4 linked regions of the Callithrix jacchus genome follow. The main gene of each other region encodes a partner of the protein of the gene in region 4 in a complex. Links are inferred from orthologs where the notes say so. Each region holds a gene or a part of one and is shown on either strand. Other genes may lie near its edges. The genes, in order: RAD9A, RHNO1, HUS1 and RAD1.

Evidence for each region.
Region 1: the proteins of RAD1 (region 4) and RAD9A are in contact, whole or in part, in a crystal structure (PDB 3GGR), measured with the Homo sapiens proteins. The link is inferred for Callithrix jacchus from reciprocal best matches to the Homo sapiens genes RAD1 and RAD9A. Residues at the interface, in NP_002844.1 of Homo sapiens: Glu165, Ala166, Ser168, Glu169, Asn195, Ala196, Gly197, Ser198, Ser199, His200, Leu201, Asp202, Tyr203, Pro204, Asp206, Ser207, Glu211; in NP_004575.1 of Homo sapiens: Leu76, Ser82, Val83, Ser86, Leu90, Lys92, Leu112, Phe116, Gly117, Val118, Arg119, Lys120, Thr121, His122, Asn123, Leu124.
Region 2: the proteins of RAD1 (region 4) and RHNO1 are in contact, whole or in part, in a crystal structure (PDB 6J8Y), measured with the Homo sapiens proteins. The link is inferred for Callithrix jacchus from reciprocal best matches to the Homo sapiens genes RAD1 and RHNO1. Residues at the interface, in NP_002844.1 of Homo sapiens: Asn47, Gly48, Ile49, Lys50, Phe64, Ile65, Gln66, Ser149, Lys155, Ile157, Glu211, Ala212, Lys240, Val241, Ser242, Arg244, Gln254, Tyr255, Met256, Phe266, Glu268; in NP_001239428.1 of Homo sapiens: Ser55, Trp56, Val57, Ser58, Pro59, Asp60, Phe61, Asp62, Thr63.
Region 3: the proteins of RAD1 (region 4) and HUS1 are in contact, whole or in part, in a crystal structure (PDB 8GNN), measured with the Homo sapiens proteins. The link is inferred for Callithrix jacchus from reciprocal best matches to the Homo sapiens genes RAD1 and HUS1. Residues at the interface, in NP_002844.1 of Homo sapiens: Asn85, Val88, Asp91, Cys92, Ser94, Ile95, Phe96, Gly97, Ser98, Gly127, Val128, Val129, Thr130, Val131, Cys132, Lys133, Ile134, Asn135, Gln137; in NP_004498.1 of Homo sapiens: Thr165, Ser168, Val169, Lys172, Met173, Asn175, Ile176, Glu197, Leu198, Val199, Cys200, Val201, Thr202, Thr203, His204, Phe205, Lys206.

What each region holds. Positions count from the first base shown.
Region 1 is NC_133511.1:124,398,499-124,406,169, reverse strand, and holds the start of RAD9A (cell cycle checkpoint control protein RAD9A), read right to left. Parts: upstream 4,264-7,671; 5' UTR 3,896-4,263; intron 1,495-3,895; 5' UTR 1,431-1,494; intron 1-1,430. UniProt on the Homo sapiens protein: Component of the 9-1-1 cell-cycle checkpoint response complex that plays a major role in DNA repair. The 9-1-1 complex is recruited to DNA lesion upon damage by the RAD17-replication factor C (RFC) clamp loader complex.
Region 2 is NC_133510.1:16,196,234-16,203,907, reverse strand, and holds the start of RHNO1 (RAD9, HUS1, RAD1-interacting nuclear orphan protein 1), read right to left. Parts: upstream 5,169-7,674; 5' UTR 5,077-5,168; intron 4,854-5,076; 5' UTR 4,702-4,853; intron 1-4,701. UniProt on the Homo sapiens protein: Involved in microhomology-mediated end-joining (MMEJ) DNA repair by promoting recruitment of polymerase theta (POLQ) to DNA damage sites during mitosis.
Region 3 is NC_133512.1:15,509,125-15,516,208, forward strand, and holds part of HUS1 (checkpoint protein HUS1), read right to left. Parts: intron 4,523-7,084; coding exon 4,423-4,522; intron 3,154-4,422; coding exon 3,034-3,153; intron 732-3,033; coding exon 649-731; 3' UTR 1-648. UniProt on the Homo sapiens protein: Component of the 9-1-1 cell-cycle checkpoint response complex that plays a major role in DNA repair. The 9-1-1 complex is recruited to DNA lesion upon damage by the RAD17-replication factor C (RFC) clamp loader complex.
Region 4 is NC_133503.1:170,715,729-170,721,694, reverse strand, and holds the end of RAD1 (cell cycle checkpoint protein RAD1), read right to left. Parts: intron 5,173-5,966; coding exon 4,914-5,172; intron 2,748-4,913; coding exon 2,649-2,747; intron 2,048-2,648; coding exon 1,858-2,047; 3' UTR 1,659-1,857; downstream 1-1,658. UniProt on the Homo sapiens protein: Component of the 9-1-1 cell-cycle checkpoint response complex that plays a major role in DNA repair. The 9-1-1 complex is recruited to DNA lesion upon damage by the RAD17-replication factor C (RFC) clamp loader complex.

The sequences.
Region 1 (7,671 bases), on a different chromosome or scaffold from region 4:
CCAAAATTATTCCACTGGTTGCCTCCAAACCACATACTCTAGCCCCATGGCACTCGGTTTCTCTCCCAATTTCTCATTTCTGTGTTGAAAATAAGAGATTTGGTTTGGCAGGAGTGAGGACATTCTGAGAAGGCAGAGTTCAGCCTGTTATAGGAACACTCAGATGGCAGACAAAGCTAAAGAAGGCACCTAGCTGAGCCACCAGAGAGGGTGGAGGACCATGAAAGGATGGGAGTCAGTCCACCAAACGAAGAGAGGAGCTGCATAGCAGTGCGCGCTGCCTGGGTTTGCTGTTATGGGCAAACCAGACCAGCCCCAAGCCTTCTCAGGCCATGTGAAGATCGATTATGTAGGATGCATATAACCAGCTCCCTCTCCCCAGGGGCATCCTCCTTTACCCAAACCTGTCTCCCACCTCACCTCCATGGCTCTGGCTTGAGTTATGCCAGCAGCAGGTGGGGTCCTGCTTTAGCCTTTAGCCTGGGCTTTCAGCTTCCCTGCCACACTCACCTTCTACCTCTACCTCTGTAGCTCACTGAGCTGCTCTGTCAGGGGTGCCAATGAGATGGGGTCACATAGGGTATAGCATTACTACCCAGGCCAATCCCATCAGGCAAATTTTTGCCAACTTCCTTCCCCACCCAGTGGGGGAACACTTTTCCCATTCCTGGTTCTCTAACCCAGAAACAGAATTCCCTAGAGACTCACAGCTACCCAGGACGCCTACCTGGGAGAGAGTGCACCTGGAGGAGTCAAGGCGAAGAGCACGAGCTCTCTGATGGGAGCCACTGCCCTGAGAACAAGTCAGCATCACTGAGGGCATAAGAGTGAGAAACTTGGATCAAATGTGTCCAATGACGGGGAGAAGCTGTGCTGGGTTAGAACACTGAGGAAAATGGGCAGGAAATTCTAGCTGAAATGGGAAAAGGAGAGTCTTGGTCTAGTTTCAGGTTTTCCTAGGACAGTGCTCTCACTAGGAGACAGATGGCATCCTATCAGTGATAATGGAAGCAGTGGAAAGATCACTGGTCTCAGTGGCATCATTCAGTTCTTTGACCTACAACCTAAGAAATCAGATCCCTCATGTGGAAAAGTGAAAGTCATAACACAAGACCTTACAGCTGTTGAGATCCAATGAGATCTCATGTAAGTGCCAGCACTTAGTGAATCGTCCAGGACCATAATGCCCTTGAAGCAGGCAGACAGAAGCCTCTGTGGTGGGCACTGGGCTGCCATAACCTTTTCTCAAGTACCAGGCCTGGAGTTCCTCAGGCTTCACATGGCATTTAGCTATAAGGAAATCCTGATGCACCCTGCAGGCACTTACCTGTGGCCTGTGGAGTAGGAGTGAACTGGGAAAGAAGGATGAAAAGGAAAAACTGTTCTGAGATGGGAGCACAGGCTGCCAGAAGGATGGTGTAAAGGCTCACCTTGAGTTGAGTCTCTAGTAAAAGGAGCATTTGTGGCCCCCAGATGTCCTCCAGCCTCCCAAATCTAGGGACAAAAAAAGACAGTCAGTTGTGCTCTATCTCCTCTCTGGTTGCACCTGCTTAATTTCTCCCCAGCTTCCTTGTTCTGAGGACGACTGCACCTTCTGAGCAACAGAAGATTCCAGCAGGAAATTAAGACCTTAAGACCTTTGATGAATGAAACAGGACTTGTCCTCAGGCCTTTCTCCTTTCAACCTTTTCCACTTTTGCCGTCCCAGGTCCTGAGGTAGTTCTCCCCTCTCCAGGCCATTAGACACCCATCTCTAAGGGGCGTCCTTCAAGGCTACCTCCTAGTGCAGGTTCAGCCCTGGACAGAACTGGAGAAGGGCAGGGCCCTGGAAGTCAGCCTGAAGATGGTGCTACTGAAGCCAGCTTCCTTCTTGTGCAGCAGCTGCAGGCCTTGGCAATCTGTTGGCATGGTGGACAGAGTTTCCCATTCCCAGTTAGGTCACAGATGGGAGAGAAACCTCCCTAGGAAGGAGTGAGCCATAGAAGAAAAAAAGCCAAGAATGAACACAGGAGTCAAGGGACTACCCATCACTGCCATCACTGGTCCTGAGGACTGCTACATGATCCTGTGCTGCAGTTTCTTTCCCTCATGGTTCTTCACCTTAGCTCCAGGGAAAGAGGCTCACAAACCCCCTATCCATTTATGCACCTTGTTCCCTTGGCTCTCAATTAGCTGGTACTATACTAAAGATGCCAACAATATGGCCCTTGCCCCATAATGATCTGCCCATTCGCCTTCTTCCCCTAGAAGAATGGCTCTGAGACAGCATGTATGTCTAATAAAATAACTTCAGGCTGGGCAAGGTGGCTCATGCTTGTAATCCCAGCACTTTGGGAGGCTGAGGCGGACAGATCTCTTGAGGCCAGGAGTTCAAGACCAGTCTGGCCAAAATGGTGAACGCTCATCTCTACCAAAAAATACAAAAATTCACCGGGCGTGATGGCACATGCCTGTAGTCCTGTCTACTCAGGAGGCTGAGGCATAATAACCGCTTAAACCCAGGAGGCAGAGGAGGTTGCAGTGGGCAGAGATCATGCCACTGCACTCCAGCCTGGACCACAGAGACCCTGTCTCAAAACAAGAAAACAAAAAAACTGTCCTGCCTAGGAAAATGGATTTGCCCAGAAATAAAATGACTTCAAATATTAAGAAAAGGTCTTACAGTGGCTAGGGACTGTTGTAAAAATTATCAAAAATGAGAGCTAGGACATGGGATAGCACTCCCTCTATGCAGTCCCTGGACTAAAAACTTACATGTGGCCAGGCTCAAGCCTGTAATCCCAGCACTTTGGGAGGCCAAGACGGGCAGATCACCTGAGGTCAGGAGTTAGAGACCAGTATGACCAACATGGAAAAGCCCCATCTCTACTAAGAATTCAAAATTAATTGGACATGGGGGTGCATGCCTGTTATCCCAGCTACTCAGGAGGCTGAGGCAGGAGAATCGCTTGAACCTGGGAGGCAGAGGTTGCAGTGAGCTGAGATCGTGCCACTGCACTCCAGCCTGGGAACAAGAGCAAAACAATGTCTGAGAGGGCGGGGGGGTCGCGGGGGAGCTGGTAGGGCTGGGCTAGGTGGCTCACGCCTGTAATCCCAGCACTTTGGGAGGCCAAGATCAGGAAGATTGAGACCATCCTGGCTAACACGGTGAAACCCCATCTCTACTAAAAATACAAAAAATTAGCCGGGCGTGGTGGCGCAGGCCTGTAGTCTCAGCTACTCGGAATGCTAGGGCAGGAAACTCGCTTGAACCTTGGAGGCACAGGTTGCGGTGAGCCGAGATCGCGCCATTGTACTGTACTCCAGCCTGGGCGACAGAGGAAGATTCCGTCTCAAAAACAAAACAAACAAAACAAAAACACCTTACATGCATCATCTCATTTAATCCACAAAAATCCGAGGCGGTGTTACCATTATCCCCAGTCTTGCAGATGAAGAGGCTGAGGCTAACTTTGTCCAAAGTCAGAAACCCAAGTTTCTCTGACTCTAGATCCCAAGCTGAGAGTCTTGCTCAGATCATCTCAGGACTCTTCTTTCTTCTTGCACTTGGGGTGCAACATGGAGCAATGAGGCCAGTAGTGTGTGACATACTGCACCCTCAGAAGAGGCTTCTGTTTCAGACCCCTTATTCTACAGAGGAAGGAACTGGTAGGTCGCACAGAGCCTGGGCCTGCTCTGCAACGGAATCGCAACGGGCACTAGAATTCTAGTCCAAGCCCCATTTTACAGAGCCGGGGAGCTGAAGCCCACAGCGCCTGGGGGCCTCCCGGGCTCCGAATCCACCAGCGGCTGAGCCAGATCCAGCCTCGGGCGCACTCACTGCCCTGCCCGATTCTACCTCCGCGTTCACCTGCGGCGCGAACCCTCCCCGCGGGCTGCCAGCGCCCGGGAGTACCTGTCCGCCACGCTCAGGGCCCTCGGCTCGAAGTGACCAGACGCTGGTGCAGGCGAGCGGGGCTCCGCGGGCCACAACCGGACCCCGGCCTCGCGGACCCGGGTCGCCTCGCCAGTCCCTCTCCTGAGAACGCCGAGGCCTCAGCAGCGTGTGGACGCCGGGACGCCGCCGAGAATTGGGAAGCGCTGGTCTCGGAGGCAAGGCCGGCTTGGTCTCCTCTCCTCAAGTCCCCTGCGCCGCCCCCCGCCCCCCGGACCTTCTGCAAACCGGGTCCCAGCCCCAGCGCACCTCAAGAAGAAACAACACGTTCGCGCTTCGTGGAGTCAAGCGGTCGGGACTCTAAGTAGGGGCGAGGTTCCCATGGCAACGAGGGGACACTCTTTGCGCCTGCTCAGAGGCGCTAGGCACGCTGGGAAATGTGGTTTCCGGGTTGTCCATGGAGGCTAACGGAACGGACGCAAGGTGGCGCCCAAACGTCGCAGTCGATGTGGGTAAGTCCCGGTCCCCAGCTCCCGGGCGCTGCGGGCGCGGGAGAGACCGCGAAGGTCTGAAAGATAGTTTCTCTGAGGCAACTGAGATACGCAGTGAGGAGACGGAGGCACAGTCTCTTCAGCGCGGTTGATTTTGCCGTTTGAAAAGTTGGCATGACGAGGGACTGTGCTGGCTAGCGCGAAGGCGGCCGCTTCTGAGGCCCCGCCCCAGCCTGGGCAGAGCCGGACGCAGAAGAGGGAGGACGCTCGGACTGTGGGAGCTGGTTCCAGAGGGACGCGCGCCACGGTCGTGCAGCAAGTGTTCCGGGTCCGGGCTGGGCGACCCCTCGCGCTGCTGAGGGGCTCCTGTGCCCAGTGGGAATTGAAAGCGGGCTCCGGGAGCAGCAGCCATCCGGACCCTCGCACTCGCGAGCTCCGAGCACTTCCGGACCCAGGGCCTTCCTTGGGCGGAACTGTGCATTCAGTTGACTGCCCGGGAGCCACCTTCCCCACTCTCGAGTTAGGCTCAAACAATGACAATCTAGAAACCTAGGATCTGGCCGGGCGCAGTGGCTCACGCTTGTAGTCCCTGCACTTTGGGAGGCCGAGGCGGGTGGATCACCTAAGGTCAGGAGTTCGAGACCAGCCTGTCCAACATGATGAAACCCCTTCTCTACTAAAAATAGAGCAAGGTGCGGTGGTGGGCACCTATAATCCCAGCTACTCAGGAGGCTGAGGCAGGAGAATCGCTTAAACCCCGAAGGCAGAGGTTGCAGTGAGCCAAGATTGCACTCCAGCCTAGGCTACAGAGAAAGACTGGGTCTCAAAAATAAAAATAAAAATACACATAACAATATATTTGATTACGTAAGCATGGGATACCTGGAGGGCCTCGAAGGCAGCTGCAGTCATTGCCTGAGTAGACATGAAGGACTGGAAGACAGAGTAGGAGTCAGTTTACTTTTCGTTTTATATGTTTCTTTGTTATTTTTTTGACCCTTTAGCAATTTCTATGAGCTTTGTGTACACAGAGGGTTTTTGTTTTGTTTTGTTTTGTTTTGAGACAGAGTCACCCTCTGTCACCAAGGCTGGAATGCAGTGGTGCCATCTCCATCTTGCAACCTCCGCCTCCCCGGTTCAAGCAATTCTCTTGCCTCAGCTTCTCAAATAGCTGGGATTACAGGCACGCACCACTATGCCCGGCTAATTTTTGTAATTTTTTTTTTTTTAGTAGAGATGGGGTTTCATCATGTTGGCCAGACTGGTCTCGAACTCCTGATCTCAGGTGATTCAACCATCTTAGCCTCCCAAAGTGCTGAGAGTACAGGCATGAACCACCACGCCCAGCCCATAGGGTTCTTATTTTGTTTTGTAGAGATGGGGTTTCACCGTGTTGCCCAGGCAGGTCTCCAACTCCTGGGCTCAAGCATTCCACCTGCCTCAGCCTCCCTAAGTGCTGAGATTACAGGGGTGAGCCACCATGCCTGGCACCCTCTTGTCTGCATTTTTGATGCAGTTTCCCCTCCAGTCTTCCTTTTCCTGATTGCTGACTTCTTACTCCTTGGAATCCTCATGGATTCTAGTGAGTCCCATGGATCTGAGTTCCTGATGGGATCTGCCTTCTGAGATGCGCAGGCTGCAGGAGGGCAGGGCCTGGCCTTGGCTTCCCCCGACACTCTCGCCACCACCCACCCACCTGCAGCCCTAGGAATATGGAAAGGGCAGCCTGGGTAGGACTCCTGGTTGGCCAAAGAATAGGAGGCAGCCCCCAATGTTTGCTCAGCAGGATAGATCAGGAGTCAGAACTAGCTTCCCTGTACCCCACATCTTGTGACCCTTAGGCATACCACCCAGATAGGTGCCACCCATTCCTCTTCTGGAAGGGAGGTACAGGCTAAGTTCTCACAATGTCTAGATAGCATGTTTTTGTTTGCTTGTTTGTTTTTAGACAGAGTCTTGCTCTGTTGCCCAGGCTAGAATGTAGTGGTGCGATCTTGGCTCACCACAACCTCCACCGTCTGAGTTCAAGCAACTGTCCTGCCTTAGCCTCCTGGGTAGTTTGGATTACAGGCTCCCACCACCGTGCCTGGCTAATTTTTGTTTTGTTTTGTAGAGATGGGGTTTCTCCATGTTGGTCAGGTTGGTTTCAAACTCCCAACCTCAGGTAATTTGCCCACCTCTGCCTCCCAAAATGCTGGGATTATAGGCATGAGCCATTGCACCCGGCCTCATGTATTGTTTAAAAGTATCAAAGTGTAGCCATGCGTGGTGGCCCTGTAGTCCCAGCTACTCGGGAGCCTGAGGTAGGATCTCTTGAGCCTGGGAGGCAGAGGGTACAGTGAGCCGAGATCACCCCACTGCACTCTAACCTGAGTGACAGAGTGAGACCCAGTCTCAAATAAAAATAAAATAAAATGCATCAAAGTGAAGAGGGGTACTTAGGGATTTCAGGTGTAATCCCTTTGCTTTACAGAAAGAAACAGAGACTGTAGCTGGGGCTAGAATCCAAGTCCCCGCCCCCGGGCACTTCAGGGTTAGAGCAGTGTTGGGAGTCCCACGAGGGCCTGGGTGAGAGGTTCACTCTTAAAACTGGGCATGAAGTCTCAATCACTGAGAATGCTTGGTGCCAGCTCCCATCTCTGAGGACACGAGGGCCTGGGTGAGAGGTTCACTCTTAAAACTGGGCATGAAGTCTCAATCACTGAGAATGCTTGGTGCCAGCTCCCATCTCTGAGGACACGAGGGCCTGGGTGAGAGGTTCACTCTTAAAACTGGGCATGAAGTCTCAATCACTGAGAATGCTTGGTGCCAGCTCCCATCTCTGAGGACAGCTTTGAGGGAAGGAGCAGAATCCAGCCCCTTCCCCAAATCAGGGTAGTGTATCACAGGGCAGAGAGCATAATCTTAGGAAGAGGGATAGAAATAGGAAAGATGGGCCAGGCACGGTGGCTCACACCTGTAATTCCAACACTTTGAGAGGCTGAGATGTGTGGATTGCTTGAGCCCAGGAGTTCGAGACCAGCCTAGGAAACATGGTAAAACCCCGCCTCTACAAAATATATATATATATAAATTAGCTGGGCATGGTGGTGTGTGCAGGTAGTCCCAGCTACTCAGGGGGCTGAGGCAGGAGGATCACTTGAGCCCCGGAGGTTAAGGCTATAGAAAAACAAGATCTGGCCGGGCGCGGTGGGAGGCCGAGGCGGGTGGATCACAAGGTCAAGAGATCAAGACCATCCTGGTCAACATGGTGAAACCCCATCTCTACTAAAAATACAAAAATTAGCTGGGCATGGTGGCACACAC
Region 2 (7,674 bases), on a different chromosome or scaffold from region 4:
AAATGAGAGGTGCAGCTGAGCATGCTGGAATGTCACACAACGGAGTAGGTTGGTTCTATATGTTCGTAATCCATTCAATCAACAATAACAAAAAACATGGTTTGACTTACATAATTAGGCAGTAGAGTTACAGGTAAAGAAAAAAGGACAAAGTCTCTATTCTCAAGGAACTAACACCTTATGAAGAACACAAAATACAAATACATCTATTTGTTCATTCACTCACTTGAAAATCTTTAATGAGTGCCTACTGTGTGTTAGGCACTGTTCCAGGTGCTGAAAATATATACCAGAGAATAAAATAAAGCTTCTGCTGTTGTCGTGCTTACATTCTAGTTGGAAAGGGATAAAAAGTATAGAGAGGCCGGGCGTGGTGGCTCATGCCTGTAGTACCAACACTTTGTGGGGCTGAGGCAGGCCCCACACTTGATCACTTGAGGTCAGGAGTTCAAGACTACCTGGCCAACAGGGTGAAACCCATCTCTACTAAAAATACAAAAATTACTTTGGGAGGCCGAGGTGGGTGGATCACGAGGTCAAGAGATCGAGACCATCTTGGTCAACATGGTGAAACCCCGTCTCTACTAAAAATACAAAAAAATTAGCTGGGCATGGTGGGCGCATGCCTATAATCCCAGCTACTCAGGAGGCTGAGGCAGGAGAATTGCCTGAACCCAGGAGGCGGAGGTTGTGGTGAGCCGAGATTGCGCCATTGCACTCCAGCCTGGGTAACAAGAGCGAAACTCCGTCTCAAAAAAAAAAAAAAATACAAAAATACAAAAATTAGCCAGACATCGTGGCATACACCTATAATCCTAGCTACTCGGGAGGCTGAGACAGGACAATTGCTTGAACCTGGGAGGTGGAGGTTGCAGAGAGCCAAGCACCACTGCACTCCAGCCTGGGCAACAGAGTGAGATTTCGTCTGGAAAACAAACAAAAAGCTACCATAGAAATCCAGCGGAAAGATGACAGTGGTAGCAATGGCTATGGCGTTGAAATTCATGACTTGCTGAAAGTCATCAGCTTCAAATGGGTACATTGCTCAGCAATCCTGTTTCCTTGATCAACTCATTCTCCACAAAGATTATGTTAAAATTTCTCCAAGTTATGTACAGTAGCTCATGCCTATAATCCCAGAACTTTAGGAGGCTGAGGTGGGAGGACTGCTTGAGGCCAAGAGTTCAAGACCAGCCTGGGCAACATAGTGACACCTCGTCTTGACTAAAAATTTAAAAGAATAATTAGTTGGACATGGTGGGACACACCTGTCGTCCCAGCTATTTGGGAGGCTGAGGTGGGAGGATCACTTGAGCCTAGGAGTCTGAAGATGCAGTGAGCTATGATCATGCCACTACACTCTAGCCTAGGTGACAGACAGACCCTATCTCGAAAAAAAAAGTGGAAATTTTTGTTTGTTAGTTTTGAAATGAAGTCTCACTCTGTTGCCCAGGCTGGAGTGCAGTTGTGCAATCTAGGCTCACTGTAACCTCTGCTTCCCAGGTTCAAGTAATTCTCCTGCCTCAGTCTCCTGAGTAGCTGGGATTACAAGTACCCATCACCATGCCCAGCTAATTGTTATATTTTTTAGTAGAGATGGGGTTTCGCCATGTTGGCCAGGCTGGTCTTGAACTCCTGACCTCAGGTGATCTGCCAACCTTAGCCTCTGAAAATGCTGGGATTACAGGCCTGAGCCACCACGTCCAGGCTGAAAATTTTTATTTTAATTTTTTAAATTACTGTTAGAGGTGAGTTCCTGCTCTGTTGCCCAGACTGGAGTCCAGTGACATGATCATAACTCACTGCAGTCTCAAACTCCTGGGTTCAAGAGATCCTCTTGCCTTAGGCTCCTGCAGAGCTGGGACTATAGACAAGCACCACCACACCTGGCTGGTTTCTTATTTTATTTTATTTTTTTTAGTGATGGGGTCTTGCTGTGTTGTCCAGGCTGGTCTTGAACTCCTGGGCTCAAGTGATTCTCCTGCCTCAGCCTCCCAAAGTGCTAGAATTACAGGTGTGAATCACCATACCCTGCCCACTTTCTTAGAATGTCAGAACACCCCTTTTCTGTTAACAAATGATTTTACTTCAGACTTGACAACGAATGCAGAAGACATCAAAGGAAATACTCGGATTTTACAGAAAGCAAACACACAAACCTATGCATATCAGCATCTATCTTCTTTCTGCTCTAACTAGAGGTCAGTTCATTCTGGTATCTAAGTCCTTCCCCTCTGGTTGTGCTTCGGAGCTATTCTCACTCTATATACTTTTCTTAGGCAAACTCATCTACCTGTATTTCCGTAACCACCTATAAGTAGATGACTTCAATATTTATATACTCATTTTAGAATTCCTTAAGTTCAGTCCCACTACCTACCTGAACATCAACTAGATATTTCAAATGCACCTCAAATTCAACATGTTTAAGGCTGAGCGCAGTGGCTCACGCCTGTAATCCCAGCACTTTCAGAGGCCAGGGCAGGCGATTGCTTGAGCTCATGAGTTTGAGACCAGACTGGGCAACATAGCGAAACCAGAACTCTACAAAAAATACAATAAATTAGGTGCGCTTGGTGGTGGGCATCTGTAATCCTAGCTACTCAGGAGGCTGGGGTTGGCAGATCACTTGAGCCCAGGAGGCGAAGGTTGCAGTGAGCCGAGATCGCACCACTGCACTCCAGCCTGGACGACAGAGCCAGAAACTGGCTTCAAAAAAAGAAAAGAAAAAAAAATTCAACAAGTTTAAAATTGAACTTGGCCGGTTGCATTGGCTGGCATTACACCTGTAATGCTAGCATTTTAGGAGGTGAAGGTGGGAGGATCCCTTGAGCCCAAGAGTTCAAGATCAATCTGGGCAAGAGTGAGACCTTGTCTCTACAAAAAATACAAAAATTAGCTGGGCATAGTGGCATGTGCCTGTAATCCCAGCCATTCAGGAGACTGAGGTGGGAGGATCACCTAAGCCCAGGAGGCTGAGGCTGTAGTAAGCCAAGGTCATGCCACTGGACTTCAGCCTGGGGGACAGAGCAAGACCCTGTCTCTAAAAAATAAAAAGATAAATAAAAATAAATATATAAAATTTTTTTTAAAAACTGAACTCCGCCGGGCGCAGTGGCTCAGGCGTGTAATCCCAGCACTTTGGGAGTCCGAGCCAGGCGGATCACGAGGTCAGGAGATCGAGACCATCCTGGCCAACATGGTGAAACCCATCTCTACTGAAAATACAAAAATTAGCTAGGTGTGGTGGCACGTGCCTGTAATCCCAGCTACTTGGGAGGCTGAGACAAGAGAATCTCTTGAACCCAGGAGGCAGAGGTGGCTGTGAGCCTAGATCTCACCACTGCACTCCAGTCTGGCAACAGAGCGAGACTCCGTCTCAAACAAAACCAAAAAAACAACTGAACTCATTCTGAGCATTGCTTTGTAGTAAAAAACAAAAACTGAATTCACAGTCATTCCCTGACAACCTCACCGCCACCCCTTGGCCAAAGTGATTATCTTCCAGGGCTCTTGATCAGGGAATGGTGTCATTATTCTTTCAATTATGCAGCCAAATATCTTGACACTTCTATCTTCCCACCTCCCATCCAACCCACCATCAAGCCCTGTCAACTTTACCTTTTAAACACCTTTCATAATGCCCCTTTTTCACTCTCTGTTTCCTTCCTTTTCTTCCTCTCTCCCTGACAACCTTTTTCAAGCTCAAGCAGTTCCTGCCTGGAGTATTGCAATATCCAACTGGTCTGCCCTAATCCACTCTAGCAACCCCTGCTGTAGAGGGACCTTTTAAAATGCAAATCTGACCTCAGTTCACTTCTGCTTCAAGCTTATGATTGATTTCCTTTATTCTTGGATAAGCATAAAACTTCTCAGTATGGCGAAGGCCTGCTTCCTCTGCCTCCAGCTTCAACTCACACCACACTCCACTCAGGCTGATTAGCTCAAACCCCTCAGATATTCCTCACCGTGCTTACTCCTGCCATGCCGCCTTTGCACACCTGATTCCCTCTGCTTATGGAGGTTCCCTCCTTTTTTTGTAAAAGGTACCAGATCTCACACACCAAGCTCTCACGGGAAAAGCCTTTCCTGTCCTACCTCTCAAGATCTCCTTATTGTAAATACTCAAAGTATCATTAAGCTCTACTGTTTCACTTGACAGCAGTAATTCCACTATTGTGTGTTTGTTTGTTTTGGAGATGGTGTCTCCCTCTGTCACTCCCTCCGTCCAGGTTGAAGTGCAGTGGTGTAACAGTTTACCATAGCCTCCACCTCTCCGGCTCAGGTCATCCTCCCACCTCAGCCTCCAGAGTAGCTGGGACTACAGGCACGCACCACCACACCCGGCTAATTTTTAGTAGAGAAGCGGTTTCACCATGTTGGCCAGGCTGGTCTTGAACTCGTGACCTCAATCCATCCACCTGCCTCGGCCTCCTAAAGTGCTAGGGTTACAGGCGTGAGCCACCGTACCCAGCCCACATTTGTTTATTTGATTACTTAAAAACGTCTGAGCCCCTCTCCCAGGATTGGGCTGTGAGTCCAAGGGAAGTTAAGAACCTTGTCTGCCATTGTACCCTCAGGGCCTAGCGGTGCCTGGCACATAGTAGTTGTTCAACTAGACAGGCTAAGTAAATAAATAAAGCACTACAGTCTATTGTATCCGAAGGCTTAGCTTTGGGAGGGGCAAAGACAGGTCAGTACCTTAAGATTTCGCGCGCACGTAGGGCTCAAGGTGCCGACATTTTTTCCAAGATGGAAGAAAGCTGAGATCACACGCAGCCCTCAAAGAACCCTCGGGCTAATCGCGGGGAGCAAATAATCGTTCGCTGTAGGAAAACTGGGTACGATTTCCCCTGGGAAGGAAATCAAGTAAAGCCGACCTTTGAAAAGGGGAGCAGAGCAGTTCGAGGGGAGACAGGGGCGTGTCGCCTGACTTGGCTAGGGCGGCAGGGAAGCGGGCCCAGGGAGCCGGGCCTGTCACGCCGCTTCCGCGCGTCCCCAAACTGTCCCTCTGCTCGCCCACCCACGCCGCGGAGACCCCTCCGGCCCCTCCCTGACCTCACGGCCACCTCTTACCCCACGAACAGGCCAGCGGGCCGCCTTACCAGCCCGGGCCGGCCAGGGCCGCCGCTCCTGTCACACCGCGCCGCGTTCGAGCCCCGAATGCCGAGACAAGCCGGCGCCGATTGGCGACGTTCCGTCACGTGACCTTAACGCTCCGCCGGCGCCAGTTTCAAACAGCGGAACAAACTGAAAGCTCCGGTGCCAGACCCCACCCCCGGCCCCGGCCAGGGACCCCCTCCCTTCCCGGGATCCCCCGGGGTTCCCACCCCGCCCGCACCGCCGGGGACCCGGCCGGTCCGGCGCGAGTCCCCGTCCGGGGTCCGGGCTCGGCCCCCAGGTTGGAGGAGCCCGGAGCCCGCCTTCGGAGCCACGGCCCAACGGCGGCGGCGACTGCAGTCTGGAGGTGAGCGGGATGCAGGAATGGAGTCCCAGGCCTGGCCTAGGCACAGGCGGGGAGCAAGGCCTCCGGGTGCGGAGGTCAGGGCGTCTAGCAGCAGGGCACGGGCCACCAGTGGAGGTTTGGGCCATACGGGGAGAAGGTCTGAGCCAGGGTGCAAATTTTTTCTGCATCCAACCTCCTGGCCTTGGCATTCTCACTACTTAAAGCGCCCCATGGACTTCCCTGAAGTCTGACCTCTGCACCCTGCCCACAGCCTCGGGAGGGCTGGGGTGACCTACTTTCTTCCTTAGGCCGACTGTGGCTGCGATGAAGACTGAGCTTGTACTATATTGAGTCAAAGACCAACATACGTACACACTCCCCTGCTCCCAGGCTGTCTCACCACTAGGCAACACTGCCTCCATCTTACCCTTTGGCCACCACCCTTCTCCTGGTTCTTGAGAATGTAGCAAGATTTCCCCGCTTGGGATGGGGATGGGTCAGAGGAGCCACTCTGGAAGTTTCCCGGGCAAGAAAGTGTCGGCAATAATACTAAGAGGTTGGTCAGGAATTAGAAGAGAAACTTAAGACTTAGATATCCTGTGGAAAAATAACAGTATCTACTGATTGATGCAGGGAGAGAGGGAGGCCTGGAAAGATATGAGGTGAAGGTGAAACAGATTTGAAGGTAGAAGTGTGGAGGGCCTGTGAACTCTATGCAGATGGCAAATGTCAAGAAAGTGCAGTTGCTTTTCAGGGAGACAAGTGTCCTAAAAATGAGACAGCCAAGGCCTGGCGCGGTGGTTCAGGCCTGTAATCCCAGCACTTTGGGAAGCCGAGGCAGGCAGATCACAAGGTCAGGAGATGGAGCCCATCCTGGACAACATGGTGAAACCCCCATCTCTACTAAAAATATACAAAAATTAGCTGGGCATGGTGGCGCACGCCTGTGGTCCCAGCTGCTCGGGAGGCTGAGGCAGAAGAATTGCTTGAACCCATGAGGTGGAGGTTGCAGTGAGCAAGATCGCACCACTGTACTCCAGCCTGGTGCCTGGCAACACAGCAAAACTCTGTCTCAAAAAAAAAAAAAAGAGAGAGAGAAACAGCCAATTCCTCTGTCTCCCATAGTTCCATGAAATAGAATTATACAAGTTTACTTAATAGTAGAATATTCCATATATCTATTAAAATCAGCAAAGGGCCAGACACGGTGGCTCACACCTGTAATGCCAGCACTTTGGGAGGCTGAGATGGGCAGAAGTTTGAGGTCAGGAGTTTGAGACCAGCCTGACCAACATGGTGAAACCCCATCTCTACTAAAAATACAAAATTAGCCAGGTATGGTGGTGCACACCTGTAATCCCAGCTACTTGGGAGGTTGAGGCAGGAGAATCACTTGAACCCAGGAAGGTGGAGGTTGAGGCAGGAGAATCACTTGAACCCAGGAAGGTGGAGGTTGCAGTGAGCCAAGATCGCACCATTGCTCTTCAGCCTGGGCAACAAGAGCAAAACAACATCTCAAAAAAATTTTAAAAATCAGGCTGGGTGTGGTGGCTCACACCTGTAGTCTCAGCTCTTTGCGAGGCTGAGGTGGGTAGATCGCCTGAGGTCAGGAGTTCTAGACCAGCCTGGCCAACGTGGTGAAACACTGTCTCTACTAAAAATACAAAAATTAGCTGGACGTGGTGGTGGGCACCTGTAATCCCAGCTACTCAGGCTGAGGCAGGAGAATCGCTTGAACCTGGGAGACGGAGGTTGCAGTGAGCCGAGATGTAATCCCTGCACTCCAGCCTTGGCAACTGAGCGAGACTCCATCTCAAAAAAAAATAAAGGCTGGGTACAGTGGCTCACACCTGTAATCTGAGCACTTTGGGAGGCTAAGGTGGGTGGATCACCTGAGGAGTTTGAGACCAAACTGGCCAACATGGTGAAACCCCATCTCTGCTAAAAAAAAAAAAAAATTAACTGGCGTGTTGGTGTACGCCTATAATCGCAGCTACTCGGGAGGCTGAGGCAGGAGAATCACTTGAACCTGAGAGGCAGGCAGAGGTGTCAGTGAGCTGAGATCGCGTGCCATTAAATTCCAGCCTGGGTGACAAGAGCAAAACTTTGTCTCAAAAAAAAAATGAACGAAATGCTTAAAAAAGAAAAAGCTACACTGTTAGCATTTGAGAACCACCTTAGTGTATTGATGATAGCACATTCTGGTAGTAAGGAGGCAGGGATTATAG
Region 3 (7,084 bases), on a different chromosome or scaffold from region 4:
CTAGCAGATAAGAGCTGTGTCGGCTGGGCCAGCTCTCCAGGCATCAGAAGGGGAGTGGGCCCAGGTGGGCTCGAGTTCTCAGCGAGAAAGAAAGAGACTCCAAATGCTGCACTGTGGCACCCCACAGTACTCTGAGTGACCAAGGTAGTGGCGGTGAGGTGACAGAGGCTTGCTGTCCTTTCTGTCCCTGGGCCCTGGGGGACAGGAGCAAGCTAAGTGAACACACTGAAATGCAAGACCGACTGTGCGGTACATGCCGTGCTGAGCTAGAGTCTCTGCCCGGAGGGAAAGCACCAAGCTCTCAGGCAACAGCTTTATGAATTCTGGCTACTACACCAAGTCTACTCAATACACGAGCATTTTCACAACATCAATGAGAAACTGTTATTTAAAGTCTGAGTAAATTCTAGCTTTTCTTTTTAATGTCTTAAAAACAAAACAAAACAGCCATGAACAACATGAAGTGATATGTTTATCCAACTGTGTGTCATTCAATCAATTTTTAGTTGAAATGTTAGAGAGGGATAAATAAGTACAGTGTGTCGATGTGCGGTGCTGTGAGGACACAGACCAGTGAGTGGGAACACAGCGTCTATGGCCTCTCCCATCCTGACAAAGTCTCTGTGTGCCAACTCCAACCACAGGGTGCTAGGACAGCGCAGGGATGAAATACTGAAGGGAGACGTCCTCATGAAGCAGATGGAAATGCACCATCTTGTTAGTCACAATATCTGGAAAGAGAAGAGCCGTGATGGTAGAGACCTAGTGCATGCACATTTTCATTCCCACTTTGCAGAGCAGCCTTCCCGGCCTCCACCTGCTTTAGGCGTCTGTCTTCCCTGAGGCAGCTACGGAGGCCACAGTCTCTTATTCTCACTGCCACAGCTGACGCTGCATCCCCGCCCCAGCACTGGTGGCTCCCTGCGGCGAGGAGAGGAAGAGTGAAACTGCCAAGCCCTTGGCAAAACACCCAGCAGGCTGGCTTCCTGGCAAACCAGATTTACCCACATCAGCGTCCTTCTGCGGGGAAGAGCAGATCCTCATCATTGAAAAGAGAACTGTGCTCAGAAGCGCTCAGAGCCACGATCCCCAAGCACCTGGGACAGGCTGTGTCACACACTGCTGCATGGGATGGACCCCTGCATCTCAACAGTCTTGCCAATCCTGTGAGGGCCACAGCCAGCCACTGTGCTGAGTAATGGCTAAAATCCAAGGCATCAGGCATACAACCAAGCAGGGAAGTAAAGAGCACGTGAGGGCGGGCAGGAGCATACAGTGTGACAACCACGGAGATCTCGGGGAGTTGCAGCACAGCAGCCAAGGAAAGCACTCCAGCAGATGCAAGTGAGTGACGAGAAACCATGCGTGAGCAGGCTGCAGAGGCCAATCCCAGGAGATGGGAGGTTGGGGAAAGGATGGAAAAGCACACGCAGGAAGACAAACGTTCTTTAGGAGAGGTAGTGCAAGGGCACGGGGAGGCAGAGACTGAGGGTGGCAGGACCTAGATAGAGGAGGGGACAACTGAGCCAGCACCTGGAGGAGGCTGACACAGACAGAAAATGAGCTTTGGAAAGTTAAGGAGAAGGTATGAGAAGTTCAACCTAGGGTTTTTTGTGCTACACTTGGGTACACCAAACTGAACGTTGAGAAGACATGTAACTTAGTCAAGCACCTTTGATAAGAACTGTGTTGACCAGCCTTGGATTCAGAAGGTCCCCCAAATGTCAAGTTCAAAGACTGATGTTGTGCAGCACAGGGGTCCCCCACATCCTATGTTTCCGCACTCTGCAGAGAGGAGGTGTATTTCACCCTCTCACCATTTAGTGTGCTTGTCAGGACCAAGGGTCTGGGCATTGTATAGGAGCTTGTGAGAAATGCAGCCATGAGGCCCAGCCCAAACTATGAACACAAAGTCTGCTTTACCAGACCTCCAGGTGACCCCCATGCACATCAAGGTTCTGAGAAGCATCTTTAAGGACCCTGCACTACCACACAGCTCCCACTATGCTCAGCCCTAGAAATATGACACCATCTATGTCAAAGTTCCTTAAAATGCAGCACAGGTGCCTCACCCTAAAACTCCCGATGATCTGGGCTAGCCTAGCTTTTCCATCTCTAACCTAAAGCTGCTCCTCTGGTGATATCTCCCTCTGCGCCCATCACTCCAATTGATGCCCTCCCCAATTCCCAAACACCCATTGCCCCTCCCATGGTCTCTTCTGATTCTCTTCATGTCTCATTCAAAAGGGCTGGTCCTTGACATTGCCACCCAGAATATTCTGTTCCTTCTCTACAGCACACTGCAGATCCGAAGGGGATGAGGTGCAGTATGGGGCCAACCTCCCTCTCAGCTCAGCCTGGGAGCTATTCTACCAAATGTGGAACTTCAAATGCAGGCTGCAGTTTCTTTTAGGTTGCTGTGATTCTAGTAGTAAGGCAAAAAAAAATGCCTTGAAAAGCTCTTGGTAGGCAATGCCTTTCTCATGTGTGGTCAGCAGATGAAGAGGGCCGGAGCAGGTGTGTGACTGCAGAAGATGGGGCCCAGCCAGAATCAAGAGGCAACATTTAGCAACCAGCAGCTGAGGGACAGATAGCGGGCAGCAAGCACAGACCAGCACAGCCACAGAAAGGAAACAAGACATCACAAGGGAAAACTCAAATCCAAGCAAAACCATGTCTGGGGCTCTGAGTAGGTAAAATGAGATGACCATGGAGAAGGTGGGATGATCAGCACCCATCCTCCTGACAGTGCCTCCAGGTATGCTGGCCAAATGAGGCAGCACACAACCCACCTACCAACCAGTGTGGCTGCAGGTTTTCGGCCATAACAGAGTGCCCAGGGATTGTTTCTCTGCTGCCACCTTTAGGTCCTTTGGAATCCAGGAAAATCTAAAATACCCGACTGTCCTATGAAGCTAAAGTCTACATAATTGAGCTTTTTTTTTCTTGCATTTATGAGACTATATGTAATCTGTTAGACTCGAGTTGACAGAATTATTTAAAATATGAAAAATAAAAGAGAAGCAAACTCACTGCATAAGGCCTTTGTGGGATTTACTTGTTGTCCAGCAAGAAACTGTAGGAGCTTCCTAATATCTATGTGTACTTCAGCCATGTGTTCTGGGTTTCTGTCTTGAGAGGTGCTTTCAGAGGCTAAAATGACAGGAATGCTTTTAAAGACAACATCTTTACACATATCAGGAAACCTGGAGATGCTCAATGCATTTTACCTAAATAAATGATTCACCTTAGCACTGGTTTTACCATCCTAGAGAAAATTGTAAATGTTGTCATTCATTAAGCATTAGGTCCTAACTATTTAAACTACTATGATCATTTCCAGGGCCTCTTTATTTACAGGGGACTTGAAATATGACTCAATCTCCCTCTTTAGGTCAAAGAAAATTATATTTATTAGTACTCACTATGTATTTAAGAGTAAAAATATATACATTAATTAATACAGGGCCTGTAATTCCAAAGTGAAATTAAAAAAAAAAAAAAAAGAAAACATCCTTTCAACTTCTGAGAAAGTACCACAGTTAAGTCCCATCTTGTGTTTATTAAAATAAACAAATGAATGACATCAGAATGAATCACTTTATACAATATTATCACAGCCTTAACCATATGGATTCCACGCTGCTGAAATAGGATACTCTTAACTAGAAAATAAAAGTTCCTTGCAACTCTGTGCTAAAGTCTGTGTTTACATTCAAGCAAACCTGTAGTAACTTAATTCTAAAACTGACTAGGGCCTGTTTTTTGCTTCTGGAACACCTTGTATCATAAAATGACTTTCTCATCATCCATAGGAGTTTCTCTTGTGGTCTTTTGCCTGCTTTCCTGATCAGGCAGCCCCTGGGACTGTACAGCGGCCCAATTTCCAGCCATGATTCCAACCCCATCTTGGCTTATGACGCACCAAACTGTCTAATCGTCCTTTCTTTCCCCACCTACTGAACTGACTCCATCATCCCTAATTACCTTGTATGAGATGAGAAATGTGATCAAGTAAAACAGTCTTAAATCTGCTACACTAACTTCATACATACGGAAGGAACTAAAGGAGAATATAAGAACAAGTGTATCAACCCTTCTGAATCCATTCCAGTTAGGCGTAGAACAGGAATTGAAGAGCTGGAAGGGATCTTGGAGGTTATTCAACTTGAACTGAATTCTACAGAGGACAGAGACCCTGTATAGATCCCTTAGCTACTTGGTGGCACAGCCCCTCCCCCTGGTGGCTAACTGTCCCACTACGCTACAGTGATGCGTAGTCCAATCTCAATTCCTTTGTTATTTCCCCAAGCATGAAACAAAGTAAACTGAATTTCAACCTTTTTACATGAGGAGACCTCAATAGGTAGGTTATCTGAAACAAGTTACCAAAAGCAAAATATAACCCATTAGAAAACTTACCTAATGGAGGATTTCCAAGATCTTTAAAATGAGTTGTAACACATACTAATTCAGTTTCTATTTTCAAATTCAATTCTCCATCTCGGTTTGCTTCAATAACCTGCAAATTAAGTATTTTACATAGTCTTAAAAAAGGAAGACAAAAGGAAAAAACTCCATGGGCAGCAGCTTTCATGCAACCAGATCACAAAGTAACCTACAAAACCTCAAAACACCTCAGAGCACACTCAGACCCATGTGGTATCAGCAAAAGAGAGAAGATAAGGCCTAAGAGCCTAGAACTCAGAAATCTCCCAAAAATCTTAAAGGGGAAATCCCCTGCCTGCCTCCCGAAATGGAGAACTCAGTGAAGATGTGAAAACAGGTGGAACTCAGAAGGACTTGCCAGGAGACTACAGGAGCACAAGAGCAGCTCAAGGGAGGGCTGGGTGGAGCTGATGAGTGGGAGAGTCCTGCACTGAGAAGGAACCACAGAAGTAAGAGCCTCAATTGAGCAGAATGGGCATGTCGGGCAAAAAAAGGGAATGAAACTTTAAATGATGGAAAAAGAGGGACAGATCTCAGAAAGTCCTGGGAAGTGGAGAGGATGCATGTTTTAATATTTTGTGGTAACAAAAAATGGAGAATTCTAGAGTCACAAAGTTAGAAAACTATTCTGGTCCACTCCCACTCCAACATTGAAACTTCCTCTTAAAAGAACCAGGAAAACCACCTACAACAGCAACAAAAATGGATTGTGGTCGACTTCCGTATGATATTCGGAAAAAAGAAAAGCAGAAATTGTAATACCTAAATAGCACACTTAGAAACCTAAAGGCACTCTGCAAACTAGATGCAGAGTATAGCCTATTATTTCAAGACCAACTAAAAGAAATGAACAGTGATAGAAGCTATGAAAGAACAACATAAATCTGAAGCAGGAAAGCTCAGACATGAGATGACCACACAGCATGCACATATGAAAACACAGCCGACAACACAGGAAGTAATTAGAAATTTAAGAAAAAATTTCAGAAACAGAAACTAGTTTAGAAGGAAGAAGACTGGAGCAAACAGGCATTACAGAGAGAATAGTAAGAGAAACTGGGATGGAAAGGAGAAAAATAAAATTTAACAAACAAAAAAAGACATAAAATGGATTTGGCAGAAAATAATAAAGAAGATGGTGAAGAAGACCCAAGCCCTCTGAGTCCCAGAAAAAAAAAAAAAAAAAAAGCACTGGAAAAGAAATGCTGTCCACTATAGCTGAAAACGTTCCTGAAGTGAATGAAGTGTTGGGCCCACATACTGAAAGGACACACCACACCTGGGAAAACTGACCTTGGATGCCAAGACAACTGGATTTTTTAAAAATGGAAAAAATACCGATGGTATTTAGTCCCCACCTTTAAGTAAATAAATCCAAGCTGTGAAACAAAATCAGAATGGAATCATCTTTTTGATAGCAATAATCTACACCAGCAGAGAATGCAGTACAGTGAGCCATACTGACATCGAACCCGTGACAGCCAATGAAATCCTATTCCCGTGAGTCCTTCCTGAGTGATACGCTAGAGAATAAGCTTTTGATAACAAAAAAAAAAGATTGGAGAAGTTACAGCATAAACAGTATGAGCCTTATTTTGATCTGTAGAACCAAAACTAAACAACAGGAGTGAAGGGGACAGAACACGTAATAATTTTATGCTTCGATGATGTAGATATAATATAACTATTACAAAACAGGAAAGGGGAAAATGAGAAAAGAATGTGAAAATTAGTGTCCTATTTTTATAAAATATAAATAAACCAGCTGTTATAACTACACATTTAATGTGACTATAAGGCCTTTAGAATCTCATGGGAACATAGCTATTTATTTAGAAAATAAACTCATGTTGGAAAATGAAATTTCCAAATTCAGAAAGGTCTGGGGCTGCTGTCGGGTTACCAGGACTGAGGATGTCTGAGCCAAACTCCACACACCCAGGCTACCAGACTTCTGCCTCTCCCTCACATACCATCGGACACCCCTCTTCTACTCCTGCTCTTGCTGCCCTGGGACTGTCTCCACAGGTCACAGGGGGCTCCTTTCCTTTGAAGCTCTTCTCTACCCACCCCAGCAACCAATCAGTTCTTTTAATTGGACGGAACCTATAAATGAAGCATATGCCAGTGTGGTTTGAGGTTATGCTAACCTATCTGGGTCCACTCCCATACCTACAATGAGAGTTCCTCCTGAAAGAACCAGTACATATTATTTCTCTTTATGCTGTTGCTATCTGCCCAGTATTAAAGCCTAAGAGGTCTTTGGAAAGCCTGTGTGTGGTCCGCTAGACAAGTGCCACCTAGTATCTAGTCTTACTTAGGACCATTGCATCCTCATTGTGCCACAGAGAAAAAACAGAGAGGGCACCTGTCTTCACAGCTCTGTATCACTGTCCACGTTTACTGAATACAATGTAGTCTTCCTTGTTCTTATTCCTTAAAATTGGTGGACTCTGAATATTTTTCATTCCAGAAACAAAATAAAGTTTTTCTAACTTGAGTGAGCTCTTATTTCTGAGTTTTTGACATTAATAAAAAAATAGTGCCCCAAACTTACTTGTTGTATAATCTAGTACATTAACCTTTGAATGAGAAATATTCATTTTTAACCCTTTTCTTTCATTAATCCAAAAAT
Region 4 (5,966 bases):
TTGTTCTTGGTGTTCATCTAAACAAAAAATATTTTGACATTTAGTAAATTCATCTGTTTCCTACTTGAACACATACACTTTATGAAATTCCAACTTCTTTTGTAGTTGCTAGGCATGCTGAGATTGAGAGACTAGCTAGTTATCAGGTTCTGACCCTGGCTACCTCCCAGAACTGTCCATGTGCCTGGGATCAGTGCCTGCCATTGCACTGGAGCGGCCTCCTTGCAGCACACTCTGCGCAATACTCTCCAAACCAATTTTCTCTAACGCTATGTGACCTATTTTAAGGTAGGCATTCCAGTATATCCTCAAATTTTGGTGAATATCATTGAACAGTTCTCAACAATGAATAGTTGGCACACTTTTATTTGGGGGAAGGCGGTGGTCACAACCATCAATGGGTAAGGGTCAGAAAGGCTAAGTGAATCGTGCAATGGGATGACAGTTTTTTATCCTAAAGAACTGTCCCACCCAAAAGGCTAATAGTGCCTGTCTGTGGAGAGACACTGAGCTGTTTGTTGTTACAAAGACAGAAGCTTCACTTTACTCATGTAATTTTTTCTACTAGAAAATAAGTCAGATTATCACCGGGCGCGGTGGCTCACGCCTGTAATCCCAGCACTTTGGGAGGCCGAGGCGGGTGGATCACGAGGTCAAGAGATCGAGACTATCCTGGTCAACATAGTGAAACCCCGTCTCTACTAAAAATATAAAAAATTAGCTGGGTATGGTGGCGCGTGCCTGTAATCCCAGCTACTCAGGAGGCTGAGGCAGGAGAATTGCCTGAACCCAGGAGGCGGAGGTTGCGGTGAGCCAAGATCGCGCCATTGTACTCCAGCCTGGGTAACAAGAGCGAAACTCTGTCTCAAAAAAAAAAAAGAAAATAAGTCAGATAATTTTAGTGTTGTATTTTATTAAATATAAAAATATTTATATGCCCACAAAAATTATTTTAGTGACAACTACCAGGAAAGTACAAAATCCCCTATAACTGTTTTTTTACACCTCAATTTGTCAAGAAACTCAGAGGCAAATGCAAAGCATCTAATAAGTACTTACTGCAGTTACTTACTGCAGTGAACAGTTTTGAGAAGAAGAAGAAAACCTGTAACTCTGAAAATTGTTTTATATCCCATTCACAGATCTCTTCAAAAGTATACTATAAAAATGAATCACAAAGAATTTTTCAGACTTCTTTGGTGATGCTTCAACTTCAGAACATTTGCAAGGAAATGACATGTAAAAACAATCACCTCAATACAATTAAACTTCTTTTTTTTTTTAAAGTTTCCTTTAAAACAGTGGTTCCCAAAATTTAGCATTTATCAGAATCTCCTGAGGGAAGCCAGTTAAAATACAGAATGCTGGCTTCCTCCCCAGAGTTTGCTACAAGTTTGCAGGCAGTTCTGATGTTGGAGCGGGCACAACACTTTTGAGAACCACTGCTTTAAGATCTAGTCTCTAGAAGTCAAACTAAGAGGCAACGCCCATATGTCTTTCCTTATTCTAACGGTAAATAAATAAAAAGAATATTTTAAGTAGCTGCATCAAACTTTCAGTCTTTAGATTCCTGGAAAGTTCTAATGAAATAAAACGTTATTTCTCATGGCTCACAATTATTCTCATGAGTCCAGAAAGAACTACAGGACAGTCCTGAATAATCTACGACTATATAAAAACATTTATTTACACGCCCTCTACAAACTGTATTTACAAAACACATAGTAACGATTGGGGTACACAACCTTGCTCCTTTCTTCCCCATGCTTATTCTCTACAGAAAATCCAATATGAAATTATAGAGTATTGTACTCAGAATAAGAACTTCATTTATGTACACATAAATATCATGAATTGTCATATTGAAGATTCAGATTCAGGAACTTCTTCATCAGGGCAGCAGTAATATTCTACAAAACATATTTGTCCGTCTTCATTTCTAATCATATACTGCAATGAAAGGAAGCCTCTGTTATCTGTCCGAATAGATACTTTACAAGATAGGACTAATGCCTTTGTAGAGGGTTTCAGTAAGGAAATCTTGTATCTGTAGAAGAATAAATAAAAAGCTGTTATATCAACACAGTTAACATTGCTCAGAGTTCCAAGTAAAGGACAAAAAGCAGCAAATCTAAGAATAAAATCAAGTACTTATGCAATTTGCTAATATTTTCTTTTTTTAAAATTCATCCACTGTTAGCATCCTACATCCCCTAGTAAGTCCAGCACTCTACTGTTCATGTTTATAAAATGCTGTGTATTTTTATTAACAGACAAAGTGGGGGTTTTTTCTTTTTTGAAATGGAGTCTCACTCTGTTGCCCATACGATCTCAGCTCATTGCAACCCCTACCTCCTGGGTTCAAGCAAGTCTCCTGTCTCAGCCTCCCGAGTAGGTGGGACTACAGGTGTATGCCACCATGCCCAGCTAATTTCTGTATTTTTAGTAGAGACAGGGTTTCACCATATTATTGGTCAGGTTGGTCTTGAACTCCTGACCTCAGGTGATCCGTCCCCCCTTGGCCTCCCAAAGTGCTAGGATTAAAGGTGTGAGCCACTGTGCCCAGCTGAAAGTGTTTTTATTTAACAGAAATCTGGTATTTAGCCTTATCTTTATCACCAATGGCAACCTCTATATTAAGGACTGACCTGTTGACTTGGGTCTGATTACAATGAAATGCTTCCATCAAATCAGAATCTTTGGGATAGTCAAGGTGGGAACTTCCTGCATTTCCAAAAGTAGATAACCTATAGAAAATGATTACTTCATTTATTCATTGGTCCAGAAATAAACCACATTAAGATCCAAATAAACTAAACACTTCCTTAAGAAATCCATACTAGTGGGTGAAACAGACATGTACACAAATAGTTACAATACAGGATAACAAGTACCATAATAAAGCTCCCACAGGATGCTGTGGGAGTTCAGGGCAACTAGCAACTAATCAACAGCTTTGAAGAAAATTAATTGTAAAAGGAAAAGGGCAGGGCACAGCTTTAATTTCATTACCCTAATCCTATTCTGGAAGTAGATTTTCCTCATCCTTAAGTCAGAAATATATAACAGGAGAGAGAATAGAGGACTGATGGAAGACCTTGATCTAAGTTAACTGCAAACCTCAGGTTCTGTTCCCAATCCTATACCAAGCAATTACAGCTTTTCTGTATCTTAGATTGCTCCTAAGGTTATTTCATGGTTTTCCTCACTAGGTAATAGCAGACGTTATGTGTAAACAACTTATAAATGTTAATGTGCTGATTTCATCTGCTAGACTGGAGTATTTCCTGCAGTTGCTAAGTGTTGCATGAGCATAATGATATGACCCAGGTGTTGGTTTTCCCTAAGCTCCATTTCTACCGTCCATCTTCCAGGTGCTGTTTTTCCCCGGGTTCATCTTTTCTTTCTAATATAATCGCTCTCTCTGACCCGCCTCATCTATGCCCAGCCATTATGATGGTTCCCAAATCTAAATTCCCAGTCTAGATGGATCTCCTGAGCACCATAACCACATATCCAGCTATTCCCTAGTGTCACAGGTACTTAAAATTTAACATATCCAGAAAAAACATTTCAACTCCAACCTCCCTACCACCAAATTGTTTCCTAACTTGGAGATGAAAGATACCATGATCCACCTAGTTACCCAGGCTGAGAGATCACTGAGAAGGAGATCCTCTGAAATATTGTTTAAGTACCTGAATTTTTCACTTCATTCCACAGCTAAAGTAGGGTTTCCAATTTCCATTTTGGTTAATACTTTGTCAGACCGTGATCCAAATTTTTAACTGCCCAAAGTCATGAGAAGGACCTGTAATTCTTTTTCTTTTTTTTTTTGAGAGTCTTGCTCTGTCACTTAGGCTGGAGTGCAGTGGTGCAATTTTGGCTCACTGCAACCTTCGTCTCCTGGGTTCAAGTGATTCTCCCCACTTCAGCCTCCTGAGTAGCTGGAATTACAGGCACCTGCCACCACACTCAGCTAATTAGACAGGGTCTCACCATGTTGGCCAGGCTGGTCTTGAACTCCTGACCTCAAGTGATCCACCCACCTCGGCCTCCCAAAGTGCTGGGATTACAGGTGTGACCCACTGCACCCAGCTGGGTCTGTAATTTTTCTAAAGCAGTTACAAAAAGAATACCTTATACCTTTTATTCCATATGTATTTAGTGCCTTTATTTAATATTCTGAAATTTTTCAAAAGAGAATATTTAGATCCTCTTGCTAGAATTTCTAAACTGAGACTAATCCTGGAAAGAGACTTGTGTGAAAGAATAAGGAGCAGCTTTTTTGACATTGTCTTCCTGCTGAAAACTGCCCTCTCTTTGGAAGTGAGCATCGAGCTATCCTCCCTAAATCTTTATTCAGTGTTTCCCAGGGATCTCTGTGTGCTATCTTCGTACTTAATGGTTTGCTGTTTCACATATCTTGGCTTCACCTTAATTTTAAGTTGTTATTCCTACAATGGTCAATAAGATGAATAAGCACATGGTAGGTGATCAACAGATACCTTAGTGAATGAATGAACCACATGTAGAAAACATGTTCTGCATCCTGAACTAACTTGAAAAAGATACCATATAATACAAATACCCTTTCCAAACACTTAAACCCAATTTTCCTCATGATGTAACCTGATACATGACAGTAAGTAGTATGAAAACATTACTAGTTTAGAAATTAGGGGACCGGGCTTCTCATCTACATGCCAACACCATCTAAATATGAAATAGTGAGTTAATCTTTCTGGGTCTTAAGTTTCTTGATCCATAAAATTATGAGTAAGAGTACAAGCTATTTAAAGTTGTGAAAGCTCTAAAAATGTGGATAATAAAAATTCTGCATCCTAAGCAAATGTCTAGAGGGAAGACAGAGTACAGACCACATGAACTATAACTCCACCGCTCTCAAGTACCTGAAATAAGGCTTGTCAGGAGACATCGTAATCTGTAAGACTTCACTCGTCATATCCAATTCAGAAAATGCTTCACGGAGTCCCTCTGACTGCAGAATAATTTTATTAATAACATTGGTGCTGCAGAAGTCAAAGTCCAGGGTCTCCTCAGGTTCCTGCGTATTGATTTTGCAGACTGTTACCACCCCTCCTTCTTCTAGGAACAGCATCAAAGGGTAACCATCACCTTGGTAACACATCCGAAGAGCAGTTAAAGTCCCTGCAATGGAAAGAAATCATACTTGGCCTTAGCTTTATAGCTCTGGGTTCAGCTTCTCCTCAAAATGATATAAAATTTCTCAAGAATAATTCATTCCACCAAATTTCTCGCATATACGTATCTCCTCATAAAAAGGGATTATATCTTCCCTGATGACAGTTGTATGTAGACAATTCCAAACATACAAGAAAATTGGGAACCAGAACAAAATGTAACGTAACTCTCTGGTATCATTTTCAGGTTGTCATAAATACCTCAGAAATAGCTTGATTTTATATACATAAATTTCAGGATAGAGAATCTACATGGATCAACACAGCAAGTAACCAAATTGCCGCAGAACACAGTATGCTATTTCTTGAAGGTTCAATGTGTGTAACAGTGGACTGCTATGTGTACTGTAATGTCAGTGTATTCACTCTTATAAGGATCCTTCCAACTTTTCCAACTCAGATATTCTTTATATTTTTTCAAATTTCAAAATTAAATTGAGACAAAAAGAGGGTTGTTAATAGTGGTGTAAATTCTAACACTGCAAACCATTAGGGGAAGGAGGAATGTGATAGGATATTCAAATTCCTCCTTACTGCATGGAGAGCCACAGTGAGGAATGGAAGATGACAGATTCTTTCATGAAAAACCAGCTGGAGAACACGGTATTAGAAAATGTATAGTTAGTTAATAACAGTGGAATTGTCAGTAGAAAATTAAAATACATTTTTCTGGAGAACTATATTGGAGAACTATATTGAATTTTTCCTAATCTCCAGGTTGCTTTCCTATGAAATAAAATC